2 linked regions of the Drosophila melanogaster genome follow. The protein of the gene in region 2 purifies or fractionates together with the protein of the main gene of each other region. This does not show direct contact. Each region holds a gene or a part of one and is shown on either strand. Other genes may lie near its edges.

Region 1 (14,252 bases), on a different chromosome or scaffold from region 2:
ATCCCTCCATCGTGAACTGATCGTGGCACAGCATCGGAAAGCGAGGCTCCATGGGTCCAGTTCGAAAGTAGTAGCCCAAGGTCTTGATGGTGGCCTCCAAATATCCGTGTGAACAAAGCCAAACACCGGGACAAGTGAGCTGAAAATGGAAGGAGCCTTGATGTCACAGGTACACTTCAATCGACATAGCCACAAACCGCATGGAGCTGCAGATCTAACTTTACGTAGAATCTCTTGTGGGACATTTGCTGCCTGATCCTAAGTGAAAGTCTGCCGGAAAATAGCCAACTGCTTGGGGCGGGAATCGAGAATTGGGGGGCGAAAGCGCATGGTTCTTTGTTTTGGAGCCCACTGGTTGCCGGGGCAGCGGTTGAAAGTGAATTTCAAAGTCGATTACTGGTCGATAACGCAGGGAATTTTGATTGATAAGCAAAAGAGTTGAAAGTGATGTGTATAGAATGTATAGTGTAACTATACAATGTGAAGAGTACTTAAAGAATTGAATAGTTTTTGAATTAATTAAGAAATAATACAAAAATATGATAGTAAAATACTAAAAAAAATCTATTTTAGAATAATTAGCTAACTCACATTTTTCCATGTTTTCATTTTCTATAGCTTTAACTACTGATAATACGGCTTCCGTGGGAACAAAGTATTTCTCACAGTGATAGCAGCAACCGATAGGAAATCCCGACCACAATGTGCATCACTAGTCACAGCAATAGTAAACAGCGGGCACAGTCCACAAAGAAAACCATTGCCGCCGGTAGAGATGGCTGCAGTTTCGGATATTCCAGTGCACCTGCCCAAGCTGCTGGCTCTGTTCAAGACGGTGGTGCCCAAGCTGGTGAACAACAAGCACAAGGGACAGTACGGACGCATTGGAGTGATCGGTGGGTCCCTGGAGTACACCGGAGCGCCGTACTTCGCGGCCATTTCCTCGATAAGAGTGGGCGCTGACCTGGCGCATGTGTTCTGCCATTCAAATGCGTCGGCCATTATCAAGTCCTACAGTCCCGATCTTATCGTGCATCCAGTGCTAGACTGTGTGGATGCAGTGGAGAGAATAGCGCCCTGGTTAGAGCGACTTCACGTCGTTGTGAGTAGCCCCCCCCCCCCACCTACATACGTATATGCTACATTTATACAATTAAATGCTAAATTTAGAATCGTTAAGGTTATTGGACCTGGACTGGGTCGGGAGCCGGGCATCCTGAAGACGGCATCCAACGTACTCAAGCTGTGCATGGACACCAAGAAACCAGTTGTCATAGACGCCGATGGACTGTTTCTGCTCAACGACAATCTGAATCTGATCTGTGGACAGCCGAATGTCATACTCACGCCAAATGTCATGGAGTTCCAGAGACTGTTTGGCGAGGATGACCAGGCGGCGCGCCAGAAAATGTCCCTCCTGGGAGCCGGAGTAACTGTCCTGGAGAAGGGCGCCAACGACAAGATCTATCTCCCTCACTGCAACGAAGTTCACTCAATGCCTAGCGGCGGTTCCGGTCGCAGGTGCGGTGGACAAGGTGACCTGCTCTCCGGATCTTTGGCCACCTTCTTCTCGTGGTCACTGCAGTCGGGTGAACCCAATCCCGCCCTGGTAGCTGCATGTGCCTCTAGTTACTTTGTGAAAAAGTTAAACGCGGCTGCATTTCAAAAGTTTGGCCGCAGCCTACTGGCCAGTGACATGGTCAATCAAATACCCAGCGTATTTCAGACCGAGTTCGAAAACAGCGATCCTCAATAGTCATTTACTGGACTTTGAACTAATTCCAGCTGTTTGTTTTTTAAAACAAGGCGACCATTAACCGAATTTTCAATTATCGTGGGATTTTTAATGTCTTTAACAGAGAACATATTGGAATGGATAGAAATGTTATGGGAATTTTTTAATTGCATTTAAACAACGTAAGAACATCTGGTTCGTTAATTTGAAAGCTGCATCTTGTTACAGATAAAATGTTTCGGCATTCATAATAAAACCATATTGATTCAATTTTAATAAACCGTTTAAGCATGACTTCTGTTTTAATAAACAAATAAAATAAAATAAAAGTTTTTTTTAAATGTATGTAGGATAATAAATCATAAAAAAGAAAATAGATTTGATATAGATTATTTTAAAGGTATTGGCGGGAAAAAGCTAAGTCGTCGGTTCCGTTCGGTTGTTGGTGTTTTGCAGCACTGGTCTTCTCGCGAGCGGCATTTCCACGTCAGGTTTATTATTGTTTTTTTGGAATTTATCAAGCAGTGAAAATGCTCCTCAAAAGACTGCCTGGCTTTGTAACACTCTGGGTCGTCCTGCAGTTAGCCGGAGCTGATTCGCCCGAGGAGGAGCAAGGCGTTCGCTACGCAAACCGCTGCGAAGCCTGCAAAATCCTGGCCACCGAATTGGAAGCTCGACTTGGAGAGACCGGCAAGTCGCACGACGTCATCGAAATCGGATACTCCGTTGACGATGTGAAGCCCAAGAAGCGCACTGAATACCGGCGCAGCGAACTGCGACTGCTCGAGTCCCTGGAGAACGTGTGCGAGCGAGTGTTGGAGTACAATCTGCACAAGGAACGCTCTGACAGCACGAGATTCGCCAAAGGTATGTCCCAGACCTTCCAGACGCTCCATGGCCTTGTGGACAAGGGCGTCAAGGTGGATCTGGGAATACCCTACGAGCTGTGGGACAAGCCCCCGGTGGAGGTCACCCAAATGAAGACCCAGTGCGAAAACCTACTGGAGGAGTACGAGGAAACCATCAGCGAATGGTACTTTAAGCACCAGGATGAGAAGTCACTGAAGAAGCATCTCTGCGAGGACCATGTGCTCAAGAAAAAGGCCGAAAGGGAATGCCTCAAGGAGCAGCTTGCTCCTCCGGAGGCTAAAAAGGCCAAAAGGGAAAAAGCCAAGGGCGACAAGGAGGAGCTGTGAGCCAAATAATCCAAGTATATCCTAGGAATCCCTACCATATTGTAATTCCATGTCGAAAAATGTAGATGTAGTGCAGCTGTTGTCGATGCAATTTTTAAAAGTAACACAAATTTTAGTTTTTGAATGAACTCAAGCATTGACAAACTAAATGTAGTAGTTACTTAAATTCCAATGATCTTACTTTTTTTCGAAATGGAAATCATTTTAAGTTTTACCACCTATAGAACAAAGCGAAAAGTGTTTAATTAGCTTAAGTGAACTCACTATGTCTCTCAAGCTAATCTGTATAACTTCCACAACGACTGAGCCACAGAATGCTACTGAAAGTTTCGCCTGGGGCCATTGGCTTATTGATTTCGGCCACGAATTGGGGTCGACAATTAAAAGTTGACTGCCCTCAATGAGGTGGCCAGTCATAACCCCCAGCCAGAAATTCAGGTGTTCATGCCATGTCCATGTCAATAAATGAGATTTTGCGCATTTTCTAGGAACCTACGGCACTGAATGGAAGAGAGTTATCCTTAAATACATGTACATTTTATAACTAACATTTAGTATTTACGATTAAATATAGATTATCTGTGCATACACATTTTGATTTTACTGGGGCACCTAATATGTCGTTTAAAAGGTATCTCGTCGCGAAACCTTTCAAAGTTTAAAAACAAATTATTTTGAATATACCCAATTTGCATTAAATGAGTTTGTTTAATTGTCTGTAATAAATACTTCGCGTATATTTCAAAGTAAAAAATATTATTATAATTAGTATTGGATTTTCCATCATTAGGTTCTAATTCGAAATCACTACGGGTATCTTTTAGTCGTGGAGTTTTCCCGCCCAAACGAGTTTTGTAAATTCAGAATCTAATTCGCAGTGGCGGGCGAAAGAACCCCTAGTTATCCATAAGCTTAGAGCTTCATCACATCCCAAGGATCGTCCATATAGTGCAGGATGGCTTTGTCGTGCAGTCTTTCGCCAAAAACCTCCTTAAGCAGGCGTAGAACGCATTCCTCAATGAATGCCACCTGATCCTGGGGGCAGTAGTCATCTTGAGCGGAATGGGCCATTGTAATGGCCACTGGAGGAACTGGCAGGCGCTGTAAGAAACGCTTGAAGTTTGCAAAGTACGTTTCCAACTCTTCGGCGATGCTGATGTGGTGGGGCAAGCCATTATTATCGGTGGTGCTGCCCGAATCGAAGATCAAATGCCAGTCGATTTCATCGTCTGGATATTTCTCCTGCAGCTGATCGGCCAGTTTCACAATCTTGGCGTACACTTCGGGCGTGACCACGGTCTCGTCCGGCTTTTCCAGTCCCTCGAAATTGCGCTCCTCCTCCAGATGCCAGAAAATCGTCTTCAGTGCATCCAACTGAGTCTGTCGCCTCTCTGCCGTGGCCAAATAATCTGCTATAGTAGCCGTGCCCGACTTCTTCACCTTCTCCACGCTTTCGAAGTGGAAGATCTCCTTTAGCTGATTGTAGCAATCGGCATCCTTGTATATTTCCAAGAAGGGGTTGGAGGTGCTGAAAAAGTCGAGGTCTATGTCCAGCACGAATCCCTTGGCGTCCTTCTCCGTTAGGAATTCGTTCGGATTGAGGCTTTCGTTGTCTGCATCGTGAACCTGCAGCTCCACGCTCTTGGCATCCTGCAGATCCTCCGTAGTGCAGTAGTTGCCGTCGGCAATAAAGTAGTCCAACGGACAGTCCACTCCAATGCGATCGTCCTTTTGTCCAACCTTAAAGTCGTGCCTGCCAGTGGGCAGCTGCTGGCACCATGAGTTCTTCAGCCACACGACGCGGTTGAAATGTCCTAAGAGCAAGTAATATAGCAATAAGTTATTATTTTACACTAATTTCTATAAGAAAATGCAATTATAGCTAATTAATGTCATTAGACTCATCACAGTTAATAAGTTTTTGGTTTGAAATCCTTTAAATGTAGAAAGGAATCTTTTTGACAACAGTACTCAATGGATATTTAGCAGTTACTAAGAGATAATCTTTAAATATTAAGTTCTTAGTAAAATTAGACCATAGAACTTTTTTATTTGTCCTTTTACATTGTTTTCTATTTCTAGAAATAAAATAATAGCATTTAATATTATATTTCTATATAATATAGTTCTCTTCGATTCCCCATAGAAATCCTCACCTGCATAAAGTGTGGGCATGATCCAGTTCTCGATGCTAAGCTCATTTAACATGGTTTCCTTTTGGTAGGTGGAACTGGCGGCAATGTGCCGTGGAATGACCAGATCCGGATGCGAGTCGAAGTGGACAAGGGTGTTGTTCTGCAGCGGAAGGTGGCGGGTGGCAAAGCAGCGGTAGATGAACTCCAGCACATCGTTGTGGTAGTCGACGATAAAGACGGGGATGCGCTGGAAATGCCTTGGGCTGATGGTGCCGCCAATCTGGACGATGCCCTCGCCATCATCCTCCTCCTCATCAACGCTCTCCTCGCTATCCTCGTCTTCCTCCCGATTCTCCTCCTTTTCGTCTGCAGTCTTTTGTCTCTTTGTTGGCGGCGCCTCTTCTCCCCCACCCGCCGCAACCCACTCTCCCGAAGTCGGCTCCCATTTCTTCGAACTTTCGGGACTTTCACTTGGCGATAGTTTTTTTAGAGCAGCCGCGGCACTCTCCTGGTCCAGCGTATCCGATTCCATTTCCCTCGGGATTACTTTGACTGTACAACTGGGTCCTTAGCACACTGTTCAATTACTTGCACGGTAAGCAGACTTAATTTCTTTTGTATTTAATATTTTGGGGGTCTTTGACCATTAACAGCTGTTTGGCAGTGTGACCAGATTGCTGTCTAGCACAAGTTTCCCGTATTGCTAAAAATGGTAGCCCTATAATAAGGTCACATTACATAGGACCCAACTATCGATGTATCGATTAAAGTTGTGTCCGTTTAATTTAAAAGTTTTTTCTACACATTTTCCATATATTGTACCTTATTTTGTCAATTACTTGAGACGTTGAGTATTTTTTGATATAACTTAAAATAAATTTGATTTTTTAAAGCATTCGCTTTGAAATCTAGAATCTAGAATGTAGAATCTAGAAAATGTTAAAAATGTTAAAAATAACAAAATTTATTAAAAACTAAAAAAAAAAATATTTTAATATTATCAAAATAGTACACCTATTTCTATATTCATATCACTTTGATAGTGGTAAACGAAAATAAGAAGTAAGGAGAGAGTATCTCATAGTCGAGACACTAGGGAGTAACCTTCTTCTTGCGACTCTCGTGCAACCAAGGAAAGATTTGAATTTCAATTTGCAAGTTCTTGAAACAATTTTTCGAACAGCAGTGTTCATTAATTAAACAGCACTTTATAAGCTCAGCCAGCACACGAGCTCTTTGCCATCCGCAATCCAAATGTCTCACACTCCCCTCCAGCAACTCGCCCCCCCCCCCCACAAGACCCTTTTATCCTCAACCTTCGGCCCACCGGCCACCCACATTTCAAGGTTACTTCAGATTTGGAGACTTTGCCTCCAATCAATATTCCGTGTGTATCCGCAGCTTGGACGCTGGCATAATGCGATTGCCATCGAGCGAGTGATGGGGGGCGGGGGTCGGGGGGTGCTGAGCGGCCTCTGGAGCTTTTAGCCCCCAAAAAGCTGGCCCAGCGTTCCGCCCACGCTGCGCAGAAGCTTTTCATTCATAAGTTTTTATTATATCTGTACATATGTAGTAGGTATATATTTGTATATCTATGTGTATATATATACATTTGCATTTGCAGCGGAGGGAATCGGACGCCCACATGGCTGATTGGAATGCGTAAAACACTGCCGCTGTGTGTGTGTGTGTCTGTGTATCTGCGAGTTCGACTTTGTATCTGTATCTGAGCGCTAGTATCTGCGTTCGTCTTTTTCGCCCTTTGCAGCTGGTGGAAATGAATGGCGCGGCTCGGTTGTCTGGAAAAGCGCCGACAGCGCTGCTCGGGCGTTGGCGTGCAATGTTTCCGCCGTCGAGCGTTATCAAAAAATATAACTGTATATAGACTTTTGTGGGTGTCCCTGTACATACATAGGCGACACTCTTCTTTTATTACCGTTTACATTTTATTTTTGGCCAAGTTTTCGCGTGGGCCGAAACACCCTCGGTGGCGTCCATTACGCCGAGTACCACGTTGCCATGTAAAATCTTTACTACCACGATATCTTAATTAATCCGTTTAGGATTGAAGTCTGCTCTCGTTGAAGTTTTTCATTTCATTGCCGTACAACTACAACTGCATCACTAGAAACTAGTAATAAATAGTACTTAAAAATTCACACATTTTCTTATCAAATTGTTACCAGTATAAGTTGATTTGCTGACCAAAATATTATGCTCAATTATAGGTTTTAGAGCAGTAATCAAGGACGAAGATTCCATGAAAGATCTATATCTCCATGTTACTTATGTTGACCGCCTAATTATCGAGCTCGCTGGCACACTGAGAGAAATTGTTTTTGATTGGGGGGCTTTCCCCAGCCCTTATAACGCAACGGAAGTGCCAACTTCGAGAGCATCGGCCCCTTAACTCGATCAATTGGCTGCAATTTGGCTTCTCGTTTTTGTTCTTGTATCAATTACAGCAGCTCTGCGCTTTCTCTAGCTGTCGCACCCAATTCTCGCAATTAATTTGCCTTCAGCTTGACCCTGGAGGTCAAACACTGGCTCGCATTAACCTTCGTTGGCCCCTCCGACGAATCAATTGGGGAAGGATGGCACGGATGGGCGATGACAACCACGATGACGATGGCAAAAAAAGGAGGAGGGGGGTGGCAGGAATTTCTACTCTTGATTGCTCTACTTTAAAATGAAATCCTATAAAGTAAACATCAAAAAAAGATACAGATTGATTGAGATTCTAGATATTACTTTTAGATTGCCACTCAAAAATACAGTAATCAGATGAACATTGAGATATTTCAATATTAAAAAAAAATCTTTCTTCTCCACAACAACTTTTAAACAACGTTAAAGAATTTATAATCTTTAATCTTTCGCTTATAATCACAATTGAAGCACATAAGCTTTAAACTTTAATACAATCTTAGAAAGCTTTTATGCAATATTTTCATTCTTTTAGTGTTAACAATCTTAACCGTAAAGTAATTAATATTTAAAATATTTTTACTTACTTAGTACTTATTCATACTAAATCGTAGTTCTTTCCCACGTGATGTCTTCAAACACATGATCTTGACTAAGTGATGAACAATGTTATTTACAACTTTTGCAATCAGTAAGCCGGTAAAGAAAGTGCAGAAAATTCATTGAGCAGCCCCCGAATGACGTCAACAGGATTTTGAGTCTGGCGTAGGTGCCCCATTTCCCTGTAGCCCTGTGAATTTTATTTTATTTTATAACTTTCCCCTTTGGAAGGAACACGTGGCACCGGCTGCTGTTTAAGCCACCTTGAGTGAAGTGGCCAAAGTGAAATGAGTCAGTGGGCCCGACAAAACCAATCCCAAAAGTGAGTACAACCAACGTCATTCGCATTCTAATTCGGTGAATAGGTAAGTCGTTTGGTCAGGTCGCCGTTTGTTTCGTATCAATCGTAACTTTTGCTCGCGTGGGCGCTCAAAGCCAACAGATTCTTTCACATCTGCCGTCCCGACTCGTCATCCTTTCTTCTTTTTTAGCGTCCGGTGCAGATCTGATTTTTTAGACATTTTTTAGCACTGGAAACAGATACTTCCCAAGAGGATTCACATTCTACAATGACGAATTACTTATCTTCAGATGAGGAGGGATATCAGTTCGTATATGGGATGAATCTTGGATTTCTTGTCAATCTATGCATGCTATTTGATATATAATTATAATTATCAAATAGTATTGTAAAACGAAAAACTTTAATTGCATTGTTGCAGAAATGTTAACTTATATTTATATTTTGTCATAACTTGTTAAATTCGTGTTCATTTATTAATGTCTGTTTTAATCAAAGCTATTATTAAATGATAATTTAATTTTTTATCACCGTTTTTGGCTACCAATTTGAACCAACACTTGTCTGGAACGACGTCATCGGAGTGCCCAGAATCATGGAGATTGGGAACATATGTATATATTGAGATATTGAGAATCTGTGAGATACTTCAGCCTCTTCGCTCTGGTCAAACGTCAAACGCACATTGATCGACGATTGTTGATCGACCATTGTTGATTCTAGAGACCCGTGGCGCCCACCGACATCCGCTGTTCATATGGGCGAGTGATTCACAGAGATCTCGCGGAACGGAACTCTGGGGGCTGGACATGGATATATGGATGTGGGCTGGATTCGAGAACCCAATTGCGAGTGTGAATGCGAGTGTGAGTACACACATTTCAGAACGGGCGAAACGGAAACATGAATGGCAGATAAGCGGACGCGCCAATTCTTAATCCCATTCCAGTTGTTTTAGGTCAGTAAAGCAGAATGCAAAACTAGTGTGGGAGAATGCCGTTGAGCTAACTAACTGCATTTAAGAAATAATTATATTGCTTCAGCTAGTTAATAAACGTCCAAATTATTAGAAGGCAATATTCATCTCGTAGCAATAATTATCCTATACTCATATGAGTTTTGTAACTATGAAAAGGTTTCAGCACAGCGATAACTAATAACTTGCTGGGAAATATCTGTTAGAAAGTATACGCAGTTAATGGTCTTTCTTGATAACAATGAGTGGAAAAATAACACCAGATAATGAATAAAACCCTGCAAAGCTCATATAAGTAGTATCGCACATTGCGAATCACGATGATCCATATTTCCCCCATTTCTCAGAACTTTTCACTCATTCAAGCCGATATGGCTATGACTGATCTATACACGCACCATATAAAAACACTCGGGAAAGCGTCATCATCTTCATATTGATTATACGTGGGGTCTGATAATCAAGGTAAAGGCCGTAGCTTGCGCAATTTAGATTGACAATCGTGAGGTGCAGAAATTTAATTGAATTCTTCACTTTCGACATCAGTTTCCTGCTAAAACACAGATAATGCCCCAAAGTGATTCATTGAGCTATACAAGTGGGTTGGGTATTCCATTTTGGCTGCGAGCAGACTTTGAACTTGTGTCATCGAAGAATGGAGCCCGGAGGACGACCGACCTTGGCTTCTACACTGTCAGAAATACATATATGTATCGCCAAGGTCAGCCCACCAAAGACACTTGGAAGGCGCAATTGAGCAGCCTTTTGAAACAGCTATCCAGGTGCTTACTTCTAATTTCTTCATACTTGAGTGATACACTGACAGTAATTATGTACAACTTTCGATGAATACAAAAATTAATGGTAATATGTGTGTTTACACTTTTGTGTTTACTGAAGCGTAAATAAATAAATGCTTAAATGATTTCATATTATAACAAATATTTCTTAGTATTATATATAAATATATATATATATTTTTTGTGTGTGTTTTTATTATTAAAGAAATCCTTTTGAAGTACGCATGTTTTCTTTGTATTGAGACTGCTGAAAGAAAATGTAATTTATTAAAGAGCCGCTCAATTTTTCCCTGTGCACTCCCTTGCAACATTCCGGCTGGCCTCCCACGCGCCAGGGCCGAAAGCAGAGTAAAGTCCTGGGGAATAACGCCCTTGGAATCTCAGGAGCCGCGTGCCAAGACGAAAGTGAGCAGCGAGAAATGCGTGGGCTGAGCATGGATTTCGTATGGCCGTTTCTTTCCCTCGCCGACTGTCTCCCTCTCTGTCTGCTTGGCTTTCTTTATTGCTCCAACGGTTTTCGCTGCTGCGTGGGACTTTCATTCATGAAAATTGTGCTCGAAAGTCGTTCGTTCGTACATCTGTATATAGTAGCACGTTGTGATGGGCCTTACCTAACGGTATATGGTGTGTATGGGTGTGCGTTTTATGTAAAGCTAGTGCAACGCAGGCGCAGCAGGAAGTTTGTTGTTTGTGGAGAAATTTTTGCACGCGCCGCATATCCTTGAAATTGTCCTTCCATGCGATTTCTGTATGGGTACACACGTATATCCTTGTGTGAGTCTCTTCTTTTTGGGTGTAAATATCAGGGTCATGGTTATAAAATTAAACATTTCATCGAGTCTCCAATATAACTGGCTCTTGGAGGAGCATTTGCGCAGGAGCTTTCGTTAGAGAGTAGACAGCGACTCCATTGATGATTCCGATTCTTCTGGGCTCCGTAATTTCTTATCTGTCTAAATTAGTGGTCCATTAACTTTTGCACTCTAGTGAAGTGAAATGTTAACCGCGCTCTCGCAAAAAGAGAGTAACAATAAAGTAGGTTCCATCGCGAAGGGTAAGGTGGGTGGTGGTGGGAGTAGTGGGAGAGTGAGAGAGAGCTAGTTTGGATGGCGAATTCAATGAATCAACACGAACACACGCATTTTACTTGCCACACGCATACCACAGCACAAAAATATCAATGAACTTTACACAAAACTTTGGGAGCGTATGCAGCGTGGAGAAATAGTCAAAGTGCCAAAAGAGTGCGGGAGAGAAAGGCAGGTGGGAAATTTGAAATACGAACCCAGTTATGAAATAATTATTTAACATACGGGAAAATATGATTATTTAATATATTTAAAAAATTTTATGTAATTTATAGAATTAAAACAAAGTCTTTACTTTATCTAAATTTTATTCAGGAACTCTCTTTGTATTTACTTTTTTCCCCATTTTTTCTCCTTTTTTAACCGAGCAAATTTCCAAGTGGGTCTGTGCCTGTGCACTGGCTCTTGCTCACCTTTTGGAGAGTTGCTCTTCTCTCCGGTTCGCGTACCTGTGTGCGCGGGTGCGTTCTTCCTTTCATTGCGTGTAACGGACTGTTTGTTTCGAAATAGTAATTCCCAAATGTATTTTTTTAAACGAGAAGGCAAAAAGATTCAATATTTTATAAGTTATTTCTTAATACTGCGCCTAACAAATACAATATTGTTATTGGGTTTCGCTCTTCGAATTCCGACGGAGAGAATTGGAGAGTCGGAGAGCAAGTGCAACTGTGTTCGTATTTTTGGAGAGCAACGAGGCTATTTAAGCAACCCACGACGCGCTTATTTTGTTATTGCCCGATTATCTTTTACCCGCGCTGCTTGTGTGTGCTCGCTTTCCATTCGAAAAAAACATCAACTCAAAATATGGATATTTGATAGAAGTAATTACCTATTTGTTTGGGAAATATTCAACGGTTTTTGGATGTTTTAGTTACTCGATGACAGGTTCACCGCACGTTTTTTCATTCGATTCCGAACTGTTGTTGTTGTTTTAGCGAAGCACACCTAAAAAATACAAAACCACTCACACACACGCGAAACATACACACGGTTGTGATTTGGCGCGCTCTTGTGTGCGTGTGTACATACAACAAAAAGCAAAAAGCAACGAATTTCGGTGTGCAAAGAAACATAAATCGGCAAGCGAGGAAATCGGAAAGCCAAGAAACAAAAAAAACAAAACAGTGCAAGTTACAGATTTCCCCAAACGAGATAAAAACAAAAATTCCTTTTTGATTTCCAAGATTTTCATCTGCGCGGGAGTGTGTGTGTGTGTAACAGCAACAAATACCATTGCACGGCCAAGAAAGAAGAAGAGAACCAGCGCGAAGCAGAAGAAGAAAGATGATGTAAACTTTGTTGTAACCAAAAGAAAAAAGAATAACATAAAAAACGAGTGAAGCAGAGAACAGAGCTAAACGGGAAAAATAGTGGCAGTGCTTCGAATTCTTCCAGTCTTTGAGTGATTTTTTGGGAGCTCTTCAAAATGCCAGAAACGGAGCACGAGACCTGCAGCAAGGAGTGGCTGCAGTCCCAGTTGCGATCCCTGGACTCCAAGGACCTGATCCTGTTGGACTGCCGCGGCTCGCACGAGTACAGTGAGTCGCACATCCGCGGAGCCGTCAACCTATGCATACCCAGCATCGTCCTCCGTCGTCTGGCGGTTGGCAAAATCGATCTGGCCTCCACGATCAAGTCGCCCGAGCTGAAGCAACGCATCCAGTCGGGCTACAAGCTATGCTGGTTCATCCTCTACAACGGCGAAGGCGTGCCCGGCCAGAATCAGGAGATCGCCGGAGCCGGATCCCTGGCCGTCGCCATGGACTCCATCATCAGCATCCTGCACCGTCGCCTCAAGCAGGACGGCTGCCGCGTAGTTGCTTTACAAGGTGAGTCATAAGTTCAATACTTTGGGTGCCCCAAAAAATAGAACTACAATATCATAATACAAGTGCGGGAGTTACTAAAACCAACTAAGGTTTATATATACCTCTCAATTCCCACATTTAAACTCACGTAATTAATCTTATAAATATGAATACTATCCATGTTGATTTCATAGAATATGTACATATTTGAAATATTAAAGCTTCAGTAATAGAAATGACTAAGTAAATCATTATAAACATAGTAGAAAACCGAAAAATTTCATCCAAAATTTCCCCCCTTAATCTCGTTTGATTAGAATGTAATAACTAAAGTAGTAATATTAAGATTTACATTGTGATATTCTTGGAATGCAATGAATCAATATTACGAATGGAATTTTTTGTTAGTTTACTACGCACCTGTATCGAGAACGGAACTCTCCATTTGTTGATCATAGCTGTGCTATCGGATTCTTTAAATGCCTGATACTTCCCAACACCGCCCATAAATCAATGCCGCACATTCCTATCCTAGGCCTAAGAATATCATAACTTATTTATACTTCCCCAATGTTGTTTGCGGCATTTTTAGCCCGAAACCCCCAAGGAAGAAACCAAAACAAAACAAAACAGCCGAAAGAATATTAATAATACAAGCAAGCACTGCCTGGCCATAAATAAACATTTGCATGGATTTGTTATTGTTTTTTTTTTTTTTCGTTTTGGCGAAACAAGGCAAGCATTCTGGGGGCGGAGACAAAATGACAAATGCAAAAAAAAAAACTAGCAAAATATAATGTAATCCGCACAGCTGATAAAGCTAGCGCCAGATTAGAATTATATTTAGTCTGACTGATCCTGTCCTCCTCCTCTCGCATTCTGATTATAGACATACACTGCATAGATTTCACCTTTCTGAACTTGTTTTTGGTTGACACGATTTTGTTTGACTTTGATAGAAAATTATAATGGCAGGAATTTGTTAGTTTATATATGCTGTGTCTTTTGTTTCCTTATCACAATTGCATGTAAGCTATATTAAAACTTGCGCAAAATATCAATCCAACCATATCGGCGGATATATATGTATATGTAGTTATACCACCCCGCATGCCCTTCCAATTATGCACTTTATTCTGAAACACTATGCCCCTCCTTGATTGGCCCATATCAATTAAGGAGCGAT
Region 2 (16,357 bases):
CGTTTGCCACTCGATACGGAATACATCTCGGCCTGGAGAGCTCCCTACGCGCCATAAACTCGCGGCGTTTCTCCTGCCTATTGGTTTCCTTGAGCCTGCGACCAACTCACCTCGTCCGTCTAATGGCCACCAGTGCATCTGTCAAGATGCCCACGGCTCCCATTTACGCGCAGCCCAAACTGGAGGAGCTTACCCAGGAAATCTTTGGCGTTAGAGCGCTTTCCTTGGCCTTGCCATTAGATTTGAAAGCAATAAGCGAGGACTTGGAACAGTGGATTACTGCCCGAAAGAGAACACCTACACCTGCTAAGAAGATAGCCCCGAAAACGCACAAAAAACCCAAGAAGAAACCCGAAATAATCAAACCAGCCGAAGAGGAAAAAAAACCGCAGCTCCCAGTGGCTGAAAAGAAGGATTGGGGTGATGATTTCATATCCTGCTTCTCGGACGAACCCTCAGTAAAGTTGGACCGCGTGGATGTCCAGGTGGAGACCCAAAAACTGGGCAATGCCCTCAGTAATTTGGCAATGAAAGCCAAAAGTAAAAAGCCGGTAGTAGAAGTCAAAAATAACCCTGTTAAAAAAGAGAAGTCCCCCAGCCCAGAGCCCATGGAGGTGGAGCCACATGATGATGATGATTTCCTGCCCGCAGATCTGCACAACTATCGCCCCCTTACTGTCTACCAAGTGCGTCCTAATCCCGACAAGAAACCCAAAAAGAAACGAAACAAAAAGGCAAACAAGTCCTAGAGATGGTTGGCAACGCCACCGCAACAGCTGTAGTTTTTAGGTTATGTTATTCAGTTTGTTATCGTAATTGTTAAGGCGCCCACACAAAATGCTCCGGACTTTTCGTCAAATAGCCCGACTAGGAAGATCCCTAAGGACGCCATTTCCATCTAAAAGTCTGCCTAAACTCTCAACCACCTTAGAGCTGCAGGCTCCTGTACACACCAGTGCTTCAGCGTGGAAGTACGACAAGAAATCCTCACGAGCATCGGATGACTTGGACAGCGACGACGAGGATGATGAGGATTTCAAGGACGAAAGGGACTCCAAGGTGGTCAAGACCAAGGTGAACTCACTGCGCGCCGATCTCCTACTGAAAGCTGGCCTGGGCATGGCGAGAAAGTAAGAAACAGCCGAAGGTTTTCTAAATGCCCCCAATAACCATGATGTCTTACCTCCCACAGCAAAGTGGAACTGAATTTCTACGAGAGCAAGATACGCGTCAATGGAAAGAAGCTGCCCAAAAAGAGTGCCCAGGTATGGAGTCCATATATAGATCGAATTCAATCTTATGATTTACCATTTACAGCTGGAAGTCGGCGATGAAATCGACGTAATCCGAGGCTTTAGTCAATCGAATCCTTCCCATCTGGTCGTGGCCCGCGTCTCAATCCTCTCCGTCAGCGAGCGCGAGGAAGGACTCAGCGTCCACCTGAGGCGCTACAAATCCCTGCTGGTCGAGAATTACCGGGGACCCAACGCCTTCAAATCCTCAGAGCACGTTGCTCATTAAAACCAATTAGAAATAAAGAGACTATTAAGAGTAAATGGGTAAAGTCGAGTGAGTTAACTCAATTGCAGAAATGTGTAAGACTATATCGTCGATTTGCATTATTTTTCCTGTTTTCATTTATTTTGTAGTTGAACATCTAGAGTATTTTACATCTTTTCCTTTATATACGACTTATGGTCACCACATCCGACAACTCTCAGCCTTCGGATGCATTGGACTGCCCAGTGGGCACTTGTAGACCTCAGCAAAATCGTCGTTGTTGGAAACGGCACCCAGCACCCGATACTTATCGACGGTATGTGCGCCAGTGAGCTCCTCCCAGTAGTGCTCCGGCTCGTAGTCGGCGCACCACAGCTGCGCGAATCCCACGAAGAAGAGCTGCTCCGGCGACAGGTCGAGGCCGGGCATCTGCTCGTTTTTGTGAGCCAACGTCTCCCCATCCGCTCCACTTCGTTGCAGCTGCTTCATGTGGTTTCGATAGCCGGTGAGTGCGGCCCTCAAGCCACCGGCGTCCGCTATGTTCTCGTCCCTTGTCTCATTGCCGCGAATTGTCTGGTTGATTTCCGGTATCAAGTATTGGTTGAAGTAATCCACATAGCACTGCGCCCGTTCCTGGAATACCGCCTCCGACTTCCTGGACCACCAGTCGCGTACTTCGCCGGCGCTGTCGAAACTGGAGCCCTCCGTATCGAAGCCGTGGGTCAACTCGTGACCTATCAGATAGCCAATGGTGCCGAACTTCAAGGAATCGGGCCATGAACGGTGGTACGCAGGCGGATGCAGTACTCCCGCCATCACGTACACCGAGTTATCCAGATTGTAGTAGAAGGCGTTCACCTGCATTCCCACGAGCAGTGTCAGTGGCTTTGTGTCCTTGGGCAGCTCGTCCGCATGTAAGCCAGCGTAGCGATGAAGATAGGTGCCCAATACTCGCAGATTGATCAAACTCTGGGCATAGCTGCCTTCAACAATGGTCAGATTGTTGATCTCGCGGATTAGAGTGTCCGACAGCTCTTCGTTTTTGTAACTGCCGATTACTGGCGTGATGCCGGCCTCCTTGCTCAGAGCCTCTGCTCGCGTCTCCGCGTCCAACCACTCCACACTCTCGAGGATCTGTCGCTGGGCCTTTCGCATTTCGGTCACCATGTCAGAGATCTCCGAGTGCTTCTCGTCGGTGAAGTGCTCCTATGAAAGTTAGTTGATATCAATTGAAAAGCTAAGCTTCACATATTCACAGCATCCAACTCACCGCCATGTAGAGCCTGTTGAACAGATTTGGCAGCGTCATCTGGACGATCATCAAGCAGTTAACCTTTTGGTCCTCCGGCTGCTTGGGCTCCTTCAGCTTGTCGTCCATGCGGTAGAGAAACCGCATGGCTAGATAATTGGCCACCGCCTCCGTATGCTTGGCGCACACCTTGTCGAGCTCCACATAGTAAAAGTCGCAGAATTCGCCACCGGACGAGCCGTTGTAAAAGTCTATACCATTCCAGGCTATCTCGTAGTAGCTCCTCCACTGACCAAATCGCGGCACCTCCTCAATCTCACTGAGCAAATCGCACTTATCCCTATCGCTCTCGAACTTATCCTCAATACTGAGCGCCTCGCTCCAAAAAGCAAAGACGCCTTCGATCACGGCAGAGATTTCATCCTTCGTGAGATTGTATTCCTTCAGGTAGCCACGCATGCGATGCTCGTTGAGCTGGTAGGCCCGCGAGCTCGTATTGGCAACGTGAGCGGTGTGGACGACATGGTCAAAGCCCAGTTCGGGTAGCTTGAAGTACGGATTGAAGGGATGCTGCGGCAGAATTTCTTCGTGGATCAAACTGCGAACGCCGTAGTTGCTGAGATGGGCGCTCATGTTGAACCAACTGAAGCTGGAGGCGTTCCAGGCGTCTCTGTCGACGGCGGGAAAACCACCCAGCGACCTGATAACCGATAGATAAGCGGGATCGGCAGCGGGCCGCGGAAAGAGCTCGGCCGCCAGGCAGGAATTGTAGAAGCGTTGTGCAACGAGCAGCTCGGCGGACACGTTCAGTGCCTCCGCCAACTTTGTCCTGGTCAGCAGCTGCTCCGTCACGTCCATCAGTGTGTAGCTGATGTCCAGAATATTGCTCCGCCTATGGGGCGATTGCCGCGGCGTTTTCACGTTCTTCCAGTTGCCGCACGCGAACTCGTAGAAGTCGTCGCACGGATCGACGCTGAAGTTCATATAGGACTTCATCATGGCGCCATGGGATCGCAGGTAGTCGGCCGTCTCATCCGTAATCGCGTTCTCATGGGACTCGTCGCCAATACTCCTGGCCTCGCAGTCATTCAAAATCACGCAGATCAGGATGCAAACTGCCAGCCGCGTGTATAGGGGCAGTCGAAAGTAGCTCGAGATTGAGAGCATATTGGTCCGATTCGCAGGGCACACACGCAGTTTGTATAATATAATAAAGTAGTGCGGCCAGTGATCGATCGACCCGGATTATTTGAAAAACCCAACAAGCTCGACTACCTAATCCGGAACGCGATTGAGAACTGAGCAAGCAGCAGCATCTCTCCGATCCCATCGGCGTGTGCTTTTTTTTCGCAATCATGTTGACCAGCAGCACTGGACAACAGAGATTATAATGAATTATATTACTATGACGTCGTTCCGCACACTTTCACCATCTTTGGTGCGCATTCTAAGCCACTGCTTTGAATAATAAGGAGGAGGTCATGGGCATCCAAGCTATCTCTCTAGCCAACTTAGTTTTTAGGTAACCACTTTCGCAGAATGGGAACGATTTTGCTGCACTGTGTAGTCCGGCTGTTCTCTTGGCGAGACTTGACCTAAGCCACACGCTTCTGTTGATAAGGATTTGTAAGTTCTGGGAGATTCATTGATAGCGCCCCTCATTCATTCAGAGTAAAAACAATTCTCAGTTTTGGTTTCAAAATCTCATCGTCACTTGTGTCACACGATTGCACATTGTGAACACGTTCTGAACTTTTGTCCTAATTAACACTTAACACTTTTTTATCTTTGTTGTTTTTTTTTATAAATAAATGCATATATCAGGTGGATTCTTAATATGTTCATTATGCATAATTACTATTTTTATACTTTCTATAGAGATCTCTGTGGTAAAACGTAAAAGTATTTCTTGTCACGTTCCAAAAAAACATTTTGCAGTTTTCTCCAGATAATGAATATTTATGAATTGAATTCAGCTTAAGTTGATACTTTTTTGCCGCCCAAACGTCGATAAAAAAATACAATCGATAGACCACCAAAGCGCTCGTAGTGTGCCCAAAGATCCGCCCCGAATTGTTGTTGCTGTGCCTGTCAGCGGCTACGGTCACATCAGGACGCATAGCAATTTTATAAAAATGTCATTTTCCGCCATCGGTGATTGCCAACTAATTTCGCAATTATACCAGGTAAAAGCCACTGAGATGTGTGATCCGCCATGTCCTAAAGCAGCTCCCATTTCAGTACAAGAAGCACCGCGTCATCTGCAGCGTCAAAGTTCTGCCGACACCTGTGACCCATTTTGAGCGGGAATCCAAGAATGATTTCCATTGGATGACCGCGGATCGGTGGAGCCGGATTGAGTGTGGTCTATGGCGCCTGTTCGAGAACCTGAAGCAGTGGCAGGATGCCTACCAACTGGACACCGAGCTCATTATCGATCACATCATCGTGCGCGTCCAGGCGACCAATAAGTCGCATCCTGCAACGGTCGCTCTTCTGGCCGGTACGGAGTCCAGCTCCAAGGATCTCTGCCTGGACCTACAGCTGCAGTACATAACACAAGAGGACACCACCATTGTGGACGTCATTCCCGCCAAGCGCGAGCTTGCCACGGAAGCAGAAACAAATGGCACCAGACCCACATCCCGCAAGATCCGCGTAGCAAACTCAGGATCCAAGCCAAAAGCGGGGTAGGAAACCCTATTAATTAGTCCCAAATACTCCATAGGCTTGGATTGTGTGGTTTTTGATCCCAATAGCTATGAACCACCTTTGCACCTTTCACATTTTATGTACCGAAGTTGAATGCATTTTAATGTTTTCTCCACTGCATGTTTCCCCTCCAGCACACAATCGAAGCCCAAGCACATTGACGCCGACAACGAGGATGACAAGAGCTCCACCACGGCCAGCCAACCAACCAAGATCAAGAGCGAGCGCAGGTCCATTTCCCAAGGAGGCGAAAAGGATAAGGCTTCTTCCAGCAGCCCCAGTTCCTCGCAGCAGAGCAACCGCATTAAGCGATCGCACAGTCCATCACAGCAGTGAGTTAGGCGAAGGCTAGGATGTGAGAGAACTAAGAGCCTATTGATCTATTCGCAGGAATTCCAGATCCAGCTCCGTTGAGGCCAAGCCTGCACGCCGCTCCGGCCGATCGCCCATACGCCCGAGTCGATTCAAAAACTTCGTAGTTGGGTAAGCCATAGAAATATGGTGCTATAGCGATCAGTTTCATTCATCATTTCCCTGGCTGCCATTTTCAGCGAGACCAGGAGCGGCAAGAGCAGAGGACCCAAGCCCAAAGTGAAACGAGTATCGCCAGTGCCGGCCAAAGATTTCAAGGTGGAACACATGGACGGAGGGCGGTTCAATGCATTGCAGCGGCTGGACAGCATGCTGGACACGCCCAAGCCGCGCGAGGTTAAGATTTTGTAAGTGACTCGACTAGATGCAAATAAAGCGAACACGAATGTGCCTTCAACTTGCGTTCTTTTGATTGGCTCAGACTCTTGGAAAAAATGGGCGAGGACGAGGTGCTGAATACGTTCGAAAACTATCGCAGCGACTTCGATAAGCTGTTCAAGGAGCGCGAGTTCAAGCCGCGCACCAGTCACTACATGAACATTGCCCACATGGACGTCATCGACATACTGAGCAAGAGCATTCACCAGCAGATGCTCAAGAAACTGGGCGAGGTCTACAGCAGTCGAAGCGTAAGTTTGGGGCGTCCTGGAGTGACACACATATCCATCCTAACATGTCCCGATTACCAGAACCACACGTCGCTGCTGGTGAACGGACTGCTCCCGCTGTGGATAGTGCGCCTCTTTATGGACACATACACGCTGTCCCAATCGGAGGCCGTGCAGCAGATCCGCGACCAGATGAAGTACAACACCTACTTGAGGGCCCTGAACGATGAGCCGCTGAGTTCCGATCTTGACTGATCGAGCAATCAATTCACTTTTTAACTATTTTTTGGTATCCGATTGCGGAAATTTTACATTGCGCGCCATATTAAATAGGCAGTTGTTTTAGTTTTAAATTCATTTGTCTTTATTTGTTTTGATTGGAATCTGTTGTGTACTAAGCATATTACATTGTATAAATACATAATTCACTTGCTTTCGAAAAAAGAAAACGCTTGAGCAACCAAGTGTGCTGGCTGAAATGGTGGAGTGCTCTCTGGGCGACTGGCGGTGATGACGGCGTGGGCGAAGGACTACGAAATTATTTTACTTAGAATCTAGCGTGTAATGTTGATGGAGTGCCCGCCCGGCCACCCGGTGGCGGTTTAAAACTCAGTCTGAACTTCACACTCTTATGTACAATCTATTTGGACAGTGGGTGAGGTGAAGTAGTTTACAGCTCGTCGTGCTGCTGCTCCTCCTCCTCATCATCGGCGTTGCCGCTCTCCTGGCTGCCGGTGGCGGTCTCCTCGGCATCATCCTCCTCCTCCTCGTCGAACTCCACCTGCTCGTCTTGGGAGACACCCAAGGTCTGGCGCATCATCTGCTCAATACTGTCGGCGAACTGCGAAGTCTCCTGGAGCATGTATCCAGACCGCAGGGTGGCGGTGCGGAACATCATCACAGCCATGTCCTTGGCGGTGTCATCGGCCTCGTCGGCCTCCACGCGGCGCAGCAGCTCGCGCATCAGCGGATGCCTGGGATTGATCTCGAGCGTTTTCTTCTGGTTGAGGTAGTAGGTGCGCTGAGGATCGTCGGACTTCTGGTGGGCGTTGGACATGGCCAGACGCTCCATGTTGCCGGTCCAGCCGAAGACGCCGGCCACGAGGGCGCATGGCGAGTTGCTCAGACGCTCGGAAACCTGGGCCTTGGAGATCTGATCCTTGAGTGCCACATCGTTCAGCCACTTGACCAGCGGCTCGAAGGTGCTCTTTAGCGACTCGAAGTTCTTCTTGCTCTTCTCGGACTCGTTCAGCTGGAATCCCTCCTTGGCCACGTTCTGGAACTTCTTGCCATCGAACTCGGGCAGCGCGGAGATGCAGTACTCGTCGACGGCCTCCACCAGATACAGCACCTCGTATCCCTTGCTCAGCAGACGCTCGACGAACGGCGACTTCTCGACCTCAGCGCGGTTGGCACCAGCGATGTAGTAGATGTGCTCCTGCTTGGCCTTCATGCGCTCCTTGTACTCCGCCAGCGAGGTGACGCCCTTGCCGTTGGAGGTCTGGAAGCGGAGCAGCTTGGCGAGACGCGATCGGTTGCTGGGATCCTCCATCACGCCCAATTTGATGCTGAAATGAGTCAATTAAGTCTTGATAAGCAACGAAAATCCAAGAATTCGAGGTTATAGCTAATGGAAATGCTTATTTAACTAAAATAAAATATTTAAGTATAAACTCTACACGTCACCAGTGCCAATATTATAATACTACGTGGATTTCCTTATCTTATCAGCGCGGAATTCTTTAAAGCAACAAACTAAATATATTAATTTGTTGGCAAAAAATAATACACGTCATTCTATTCTCCATATTATAATGGATTCTGCGGAAATGCTTATCATAAATAACTAATTATTTGAACAGGCAAAGAACGTTTCTTAATTCCTAGAAAGCGACACTTACTTGGTGGAGAACTCCTTCCAGAACTTCTCATACGCCTCCTTGTCGATCTTCTTCAGCATATCGAGAACCTTGCGGACCAGCTTCTTCTTGATCACCTTGATGAGCTTGTGCTGCTGCAGAGTTTCGCGGGAAACGTTCAGGGGCAGATCGTCGGAGTCGACGACGCCACGAATGAAGCTCAGGTAGTTGGGCATCATGTCGTTGAACTCGTCGGTGATGAAAACACGGCGCACGTACAGCTTAATGTTGTCGGACTTGGTGCCGTAGCGGTTGAAGGACTCCGATGGCTGCACCTTGGGCACGTAGAGCAAACTCTTGAAGGTCACCTCGCCCTCGGCGATGAAGTGCGTCTGGGTCAGGGGCTCGCTGGAGTCCTTGGTCAGGCTCTTGTAGAAGCTAGTGTACTCATCCTCGGTCACTTCGGCGGGCTTGCGCGTCCAGATGGGCTTGCTGTCGTTGATCAGGGTCCAGTCCCAGGTGGTCTTCGAAACCTTTTTGGTCTTGGGCTTCTCATCTTCGGCCTCCTCGACCTTGGCGTCCTCATCCTCCACGTCATCCTCGCTCTTCTCGGGCTTGGCCTCCTCCTCCACGGGCACCTCCTCCTCGACGGTCTTGCTGGACCACATGCGGATGGGGAAGTTGATGAACTGCGAGTACTTGCGGATGAGCTCGCGCACGGTGTCCTCCTCCAGGAAGTCCTGGGCTTCTTCCTTCAGATACAGCGAGATCACGGATCCTCGCTTCAGAGTATCGCCACGGGGATCCTCGGTGATGCTGAAGCTGTTGGCATCCGACTCCCAGATGTACTGTTTGTCGTCGTTGTGCTTGGTGGTCACCACTACACGATCGGCGACCAAGAAAGCGGAGTAAAAGCCCACACCGAACTGTCCAATCATGTCGTTCATATCGAGTCCCTCCGACTTGCTGGGATCCTGCATCTTGGCCAGAAAATCGGCAGTGCCGGACTTGGCAATTGTACCCAGGTTATTGATCAGATCCTGGTGAGTCATGCCGATACCCGAGTCCATGATGTGCAACGCCTTGTTCTCCTTGTCGGCCTTAATGCGGATGTGCAGCTCCGGATTCGTTTCCAGCTCCTTGCTGTTGGACAGAGCCAATAGGCGGATCTTGTCGATGGCATCGGAGGCGTTGGATATCAATTCACGCAGGAAGATCTCCTTGTTGCGGTAAAGCGAGTTGATAATCAGCTTCATCATGCGGTTGACCTCCGTTTGGAAAGTAAACTTCTTCGCCTGCACGCACAGACAAAAGACAAAGAAAAAAGGGAAAGGAAATCCCGGTCATACGTGTACCTTCCAAATGACCTGGCAATGAACCCACCTTCTCGCGAATTTCCTTCAGCTGCGCCACGTTCAGGCCGTCCAGCTGGATGGCCTCCTCCTCGCGCTTCAGGGTCTCGGCATCTGGGGGATTGGGAATTAGAAAAAGGGGGCGGTTATCGCAACGCTGACGTGTACCAAACAAAACTCGTCGTCGCGAGAGGGGGGCGTGTCTACGTACCGGTGCGGGAGCCCTCCTTGAAGGAGCCCAGATCAAGGTCGATGGTCTCCGTTGTGGCGGCCTCGTCATCGGCGGCTATTTGATTGATGCCTAATCAGACGCGAATCAGACGCCAATTAATAATTAGGTTAAAACACCGGTTCAATGCGGCGTGGCAAATGTGCACACTTACCTGCTAGGAGCAGCAGGCCCACCAGCAAAAAGTACTTCATGATCTTTGGTAGCTTGATTTACGGAGCTCGAGCTATCGGTTCGTCCGGCGAAAGGCCACGTCACGAATAACAGATGCAATAAATTAGTCCGCACTTGCGTCGCCTGCTTTGATTTTTTTTTACTGACGCCGACAAGCGGCTGGAAGGCCTTTAAATGCCTCGCAGAGTGACCGTATTCCGGCGCTGGAACATTCTAAGCGCATTGGAAGGAAATACCAGGGGCTGCACTGGAAATAGGATATATATACAGCACAGAGCACGAAAATAGTGTAATTTAAATAAATTTAATGTTTGCTTATTTGAAAGCCCATACATTCATAGAATCTATTTGGGATTTAGTTTACAAGAGGATGTAGTGTCAAAACTCTACTGTTAAATATATTTAATTTGATAATTTACATTCTTATATCAATAGTTTACAAAAGGGAACACTTAGGCCGGTAGATATATGATTTATATTTGAAACAAATTAGTATCTTTTCATGTATACAACAACTAAGCTTTAAAATAATAAATTCTTCGGTCGGTTGCACAACAACTTCGTGTATATACAATTTTTAAGCTGCCAAAATAGATAACTGAGAACTTATTGATATAGCAAAGTAATGATAAAAATATGAATTGAAATAAAATATAAATTCCTGACAGAGATCAAGGAAATCCATTTCGTTTTAGAATATATAACATATGATTTTGTACCGTTCGGTTTATTTTACAATGTTAAGTTAAATATTTTAATGTTGGTATTTTTATTTGCCATGGCGTTAAGGTTCCGCACCCACATGTGGGTGGACTTGTGCTGGTATTTTCACCCGAGCCATTTTGGTATTTTGCGACGTTCCCGCTGCGGTCACTCTGGGCACGAGGCTTGTTTATTGGGCGAAATTTAATGATTCGCTGTAATCATACAACATTTGCGTCAGTTGCCAAACACCGACCCAGCCAAAATTCCGCTTCGGCCACAAACCGACTCTTATATATTCATAAAACAACCGATCCGCAGCCGCCACTCCAGCAGCAGCAGCTTAGCCGCGAGCAACTAAACCAGAAATTGCTTCCTCGCGTGAATCGTTGAATCGGGGAATCGTCTCTATGTCGTCTGTATGCTAGTCGTGCAACAGCAGTGTCAATTAGCAGTTTCGCATAAGACCACCTCACGCGTACACTCTGCACCACCACCGCCACCGCCGCCGCCTCCGCCAGCAGCACCACCCCCCGAAATACACCCGCCCGTGCGTCCGTGAATCGTCGTGTTATCCGTGTTATACAACAAAATTGCACCAAAAGTGCCCGACATACGCCGGCCAAGAGTTGCCCGCTAACCAACGCCGATCCTCGACAGGCGGAGCGACCCGATCCCAGCGGAGAAAGCGGCTCTGCAGCAGCAACTGCAACAGCGACTTGGCAGAACTGGTCCGGATTAGCAGGTTGTCGTAAGAGGAGCAGCGACTGCAAGGGCGCAACCACAGCATTAGCACACAACACAGTCGATAGTGCAGCCCCACCAGCAGCCTCAACAATCGAAAGCGACGGCAACCGTTCGGATCCACCATGAACATCGACGACTACGAATCGCTGCCCACCACCAGTGTGGGTGTCAATATGACGGCGGGCGCAATTGCGGGCGTGCTGGAGCATGTGGTCATGTATCCGCTGGACTCCGTCAAGGTGAGAGAGACTGCATGGCCGCCTGGTAATCGGAGGAGCAGCGGCATGAACATAACACGACCTAACCTCACTATCAATCGGAATTTTGTGTGTGCCGCCGCTGCTTTGGCATAATCGTGATGTAATTGCCCACGTCTCGAGTGCAACCAAGAGTTGCGTTTCTCATTAAGAGCTCTGGGTGGTATAGCCACATATAGCCGCTCTGAACGCTTATCGTAGCACGTTCCATTGGTTTATGCTTCCGCGATAAGATTAGCCATAGTAATTGGACTAGCTCTTATCGGCGGAGCGTTCTCATCGTTCTTCTGAAAATTCGGTAGGGCCAACCAAGTGCACAAGTCCGCCACTTAAGCGTATGCAAATGCCCACCTCGTAATGACGTTCGCCGCAAGTATATACACATATGTATATGGTTATATGTAAATATGTACATATGTACACCACGCATTCAATACCTATTATTGACCGATTCTTGTTTCGTTGTATTTCACTCAGCTGGCTGGTGGCTCGAGCACTTATTGATTTTCGTGGCCACATGTGTCAATCGCGCAAGTGACAGCCGGCAGGCAGTTGGTTGCCAGTCTAAAGCCTGGTCGGTATTCCCGGCGTCATCGTTATAATCTAGATTCTGGACACAGTCCGTTTGACGAGCTAAAATTCGTGAAGTTTTAAAAGCCAGAGAGCGGAAAACCAAATTGGACACCAATTGAGGCCGCTTGCTTGCAATAATTACCTATCACCGGGTTCTCTTATCACGGCACACACACAATACACCATCGGGATGAATGAATCATGTTGGCTCCGCGATCTCTTCGAACGCAGCTCTATCGGGCTTTTATGCAATGGAAACTTCTATCAGTTCGTCGCAGAGAACCCTTTAATTAGATTTCCCCCACTCGAGGGGCTACTTTTCACCTTGGATGGCATTGTTGACTTGTTATTGATAGCAGCAGCCAGCCGGCAGATAGATAAATGCAGTTGGGCCGTGTTCCAGTGAATCTTATCTGCATCGCAAAGCCAAGGCCTTCGTAATTTACAATATGGATGCTGCTCTCTGCTCCCAGATATAATTCCGACTTGTGTGCTCGACAGGCACGCCTTTAAATAAGTACAATTAAGTATGAACAGATATATATATATATACATACATATATATATATATGTATGTGCATATGCAATCATTAAATACGTAGGCAAATGCAAATCTCTAGGCTCCGAGTGACTGGCTCGTAAATCAGCGAAAGTTTTGCCGGGAAGCATGCAATTATATATTTGTATATTCCACTGATATCAATTATTAGTCCCTGCTGTTGTTTACAGATTATATAGCCCTTATCTCGACAATTATGGGACGAACAAAATTCGAAAAACTTTCTTTTGATGAGATCTATGCATATTCTGAACAATTATTTCCCTTTTCGGCTGCCACATTGCACAATTAGATTCTCGCCGACAGCCAGATTGAAATAGTTTCGGAAATCATCACCCCATCAGTTCTGAATCACAAATCATGATGAGAGCACGTTCTAAGGTCTTGGCAATGTCAGTAAGCGAAATGAATATTGGATATCCCCCACAATTGTATTGGGCTCTGTATTGCATATCATGAGTAACCATGACTTGCAGAAGAAAAGCAACGAGCAACGAGTCTATACGGCTAACTACCCTCGACTTAATCTACCTTTTTTTTATGTATTATCATAGCCAAAGTTAGTAGCCCTGACGCACCACTTTAACCAGTTTAATCTAGGACAAACAATGAGTAAATAAAATAACAAGTACTGCCATTGTGAAATGCACAATGTAAATATATATGCAATTATTTTAAACGTTCCATTATTGCCCACTTATAGACGCGAATGCAGAGCCTTTCACCGCCCACAAAAAACATGAACATAGTGTCAACCCTTCGGACTATGATCACGCGTGAAGGCCTGTTAAGGTGAGTGCTATCCGCCATATCGAGTAATCACTGTAACCGCCGACTTGCAGACCCATTCGGGGAGCCAGCGCCGTGGTGCTGGGTGCTGGACCAGCACACTCGCTATACTTTGCCGCCTACGAGATGACCAAGGAGCTCACGGCCAAGTTCACATCGGTGAGAAACCTCAACTACGGTAAGGTTTTCATGTTCTCCTGCACCGAGGGATTACTAATCAAGCCCATTTGACCATTTCAGTGATTTCGGGAGCGGTGGCCACCCTCATACACGACGCCATTTCTAGTCCCACGGATGTGATCAAACAGCGTATGCAGATGTACAACTCGCCCTACACATCGGTGGTATCCTGCGTGCGGGATATCTACAAGAGGGAAGGCTTCAAGGCCTTCTACCGGGCATATGGCACGCAACTGGTCATGAATCTACCATATCAGACAATACATTTTACCACATACGAGTTTTTCCAGAACAAAGTAAGTACGCCCCAACGAACTCATCCTTTCAGTAACCGACACTCAATCTTCGTGTGCACGGCAGATGAATCTGGAACGCAAATACAATCCACCAGTGCATATGGCAGCGGGTGCAGCAGCCGGTGCGTGTGCGGCGGCTGTAACCACGCCCCTGGACGTGATCAAGACGCTACTAAATACTCAGGAGACAGGACTGACGCGCGGCATGATCGAGGCCAGTCGAAAGGTAAATATGGTGCTATCTGTACTGGAGAAACTGCTTACGAACTTGCAAATGTGTCTGTAATTCACAATTTATAATTGGCTGACAAAGGTCATAGTTCACAGTAGCTTCGTCTCGCGTTGAATGAAATCTCCCATACTTATTGCTCTTTGCCCTCTCACAGATCTACCACATGGCCGGTCCATTGGGCTTCTTTAGGGGCACGACCGCCCGCGTTCTGTACTCAATGCCCGCCACGGCCATCTGCTGGTCGACGTACGAGTTCTTCAAGTTCTACCTGTGCGGCCTGGACGCTGATCAGTACAAATCGTCAATTACGGGCAGCTCGGAGCCCCGCAAAGCGGACTACGTGCTGCCGAGGACTACGGATGAGGAGCAGATCGATCAGGAGCGCGAGGCGGCAAAGGAGAAGGACACCACGGCCACCCTGCACTCTGCCCCGACCTCGGTCAATGCCTCCGGTGCCATTAAGACGGTGTGCGAGCTGTCGACGCGGCCCGCCGGGCCAACAATCAATCTGCACACGCGGCACACGGACGTGAAGAGTCCCTACGAGCGGGGCTTCAGCACGTAGGCGTCGCCGGTGGGCGTGGCCGCGAGCGGGGCCGGCGTTCGAAACGTTTGCAGCAGCAGCGACAGCTAAACCTAAGCGTAGCTATTAGTTGGCGGTAGGAAATGGGATGATGGCTGGGGTGGATCCAGGGCAGGGGCCACCTGGGCAGGCGGGGACGACACGGTGTTCGAAATACCTGCCGTTCCGCCAAACCACCGCCTGGCCACTGCCCCACCACCGGCCCGCCCGGACCCAGCTGCTTGTATGAATACTCTGCGAGGAGTCGGTGAGAGAGTTTTATCACTCCATAGTCGGAGGTTAAATCGTAGTTGTTGTTCTGCACAAAACTCTCGCTCTCACACACAACACGCAAACACACACACACACACACCCTATACACACACAATATGACATTTTTAGGCAAAGTGCGAAATTCTTGTTAAAAGTATATGCTAATGATGATACTGTATCTATGTTACTTTGAAATGAGATAACCTTCTTGTAAAATACTATTACCTATGTATTACAACCTTTGATTTACAACAATTATATATATATTTTTTTTAAACAATTTTCAAATGATATACGCATATACATACATATATTTATGTTGATCGTTGTAAAGTAATCAAGAGCAAAAATGTAAAGCACACGCTCGCGCGGCAGAAGGAAAAATTCAATAATTTGTAATCAAATTACAGCCGAAATCTTCAAACTGAGATGTTACAAAATATAAGGAACAGCAGATACAGCAGAAAACAGCTCCCAGAGAACTACGTCTCCCCCAGACCTACAATGCCCCATAATCTACACCCGGTACTATAACTAACCAGCCCCATGTAGAGAGCCGTAGCCTAGCTATGTCCATTGTCCTTGCTCCACGCACTCGACTGTTTCGATCTATCATCACACATTATCCTCGTCTCAGTGCTAGAGTTCCACATCCTTGAGTAGCAGACGCAGTTGAGTGCCGGGGATCAAGGCTAGTGGATCGCCCAAAATATACAATAATGCATCATATTATTACGTTCACTGTTATTTTTGTTTATATATATGCATAATATATATGGATATGCTGCACCGGCGACTATTAAACTGTAAGGTGTAGCGCTAAATTACAATTTTATTGTTAAAGAATTCAAACGAAAAAAAAACAAGCGGAAGCAAAACCATTGGCAAGCGAAATGGCCCATTAAACGGATGAAAGAAACGAAGACTTGTTTTATGTCAAATGCATTAACAACAATTGCCTTTTATTGTTTCCGATAACAGGTTATCCGTTGGCTAGAGAATGGAGTCCAGGCCCCGGCGACGAGAGCGCTGCGACAGGATTGGACGGGGCTTGTAGAGATCATCGTTGGTGTACCGCTGCTGCTGGCAGAGCTTCTTGCTGAGTCGCCTGGCGGACAGGGCGTCTGCTGAT

What was found.
Region 1: the proteins of Gp93 (region 2) and CNPYb purify together in Drosophila melanogaster (affinity purification with western blotting; one study listed by BioGRID). This does not show direct contact.

Annotation. Positions count from the first base shown.
Region 1 is NT_037436.4:19,084,156-19,098,407, reverse strand, and holds CNPYb (canopy b), read left to right. Parts: upstream 1-2,190; 5' UTR 2,191-2,265; coding exon 2,266-2,931; 3' UTR 2,932-3,518; downstream 3,519-14,252. Other genes in the region: CG14079 (uncharacterized protein), read right to left, coding at 1-139, 198-245; Naxd (NAD(P)HX dehydratase), read left to right, coding at 776-1,102, 1,181-1,756; MESR6 (misexpression suppressor of ras 6), read right to left, coding at 3,844-4,745, 4,968-5,009, 5,088-5,598; Mkp3 (Mitogen-activated protein kinase phosphatase 3), read left to right, coding at 12,685-13,087.
Region 2 is NT_033777.3:27,942,580-27,958,936, reverse strand, and holds Gp93 (glycoprotein 93), read right to left. Parts: upstream 10,227-16,357; 5' UTR 10,076-10,226; coding exon 10,036-10,075; intron 9,954-10,035; coding exon 9,864-9,953; intron 9,767-9,863; coding exon 9,684-9,766; intron 9,596-9,683; coding exon 8,343-9,595; intron 8,010-8,342; coding exon 7,112-8,009; 3' UTR 6,786-7,111; downstream 1-6,785. Other genes in the region: CG42487 (uncharacterized protein), read left to right, coding at 1-749; CG4884 (uncharacterized protein), read left to right, coding at 838-1,130, 1,193-1,265, 1,318-1,521; Nep7 (neprilysin 7), read right to left, coding at 1,699-2,706, 2,771-3,916; CG4951 (uncharacterized protein), read left to right, coding at 4,885-4,935, 4,991-5,439, 5,596-5,793, 5,852-5,944, 6,013-6,180, 6,255-6,462, 6,523-6,696; mfrn (mitoferrin), read left to right, coding at 11,627-11,743, 13,597-13,685, 13,736-13,860, 13,923-14,158, 14,223-14,384, 14,545-14,955; BOD1 (biorientation defective 1), read right to left, coding at 16,219-16,352.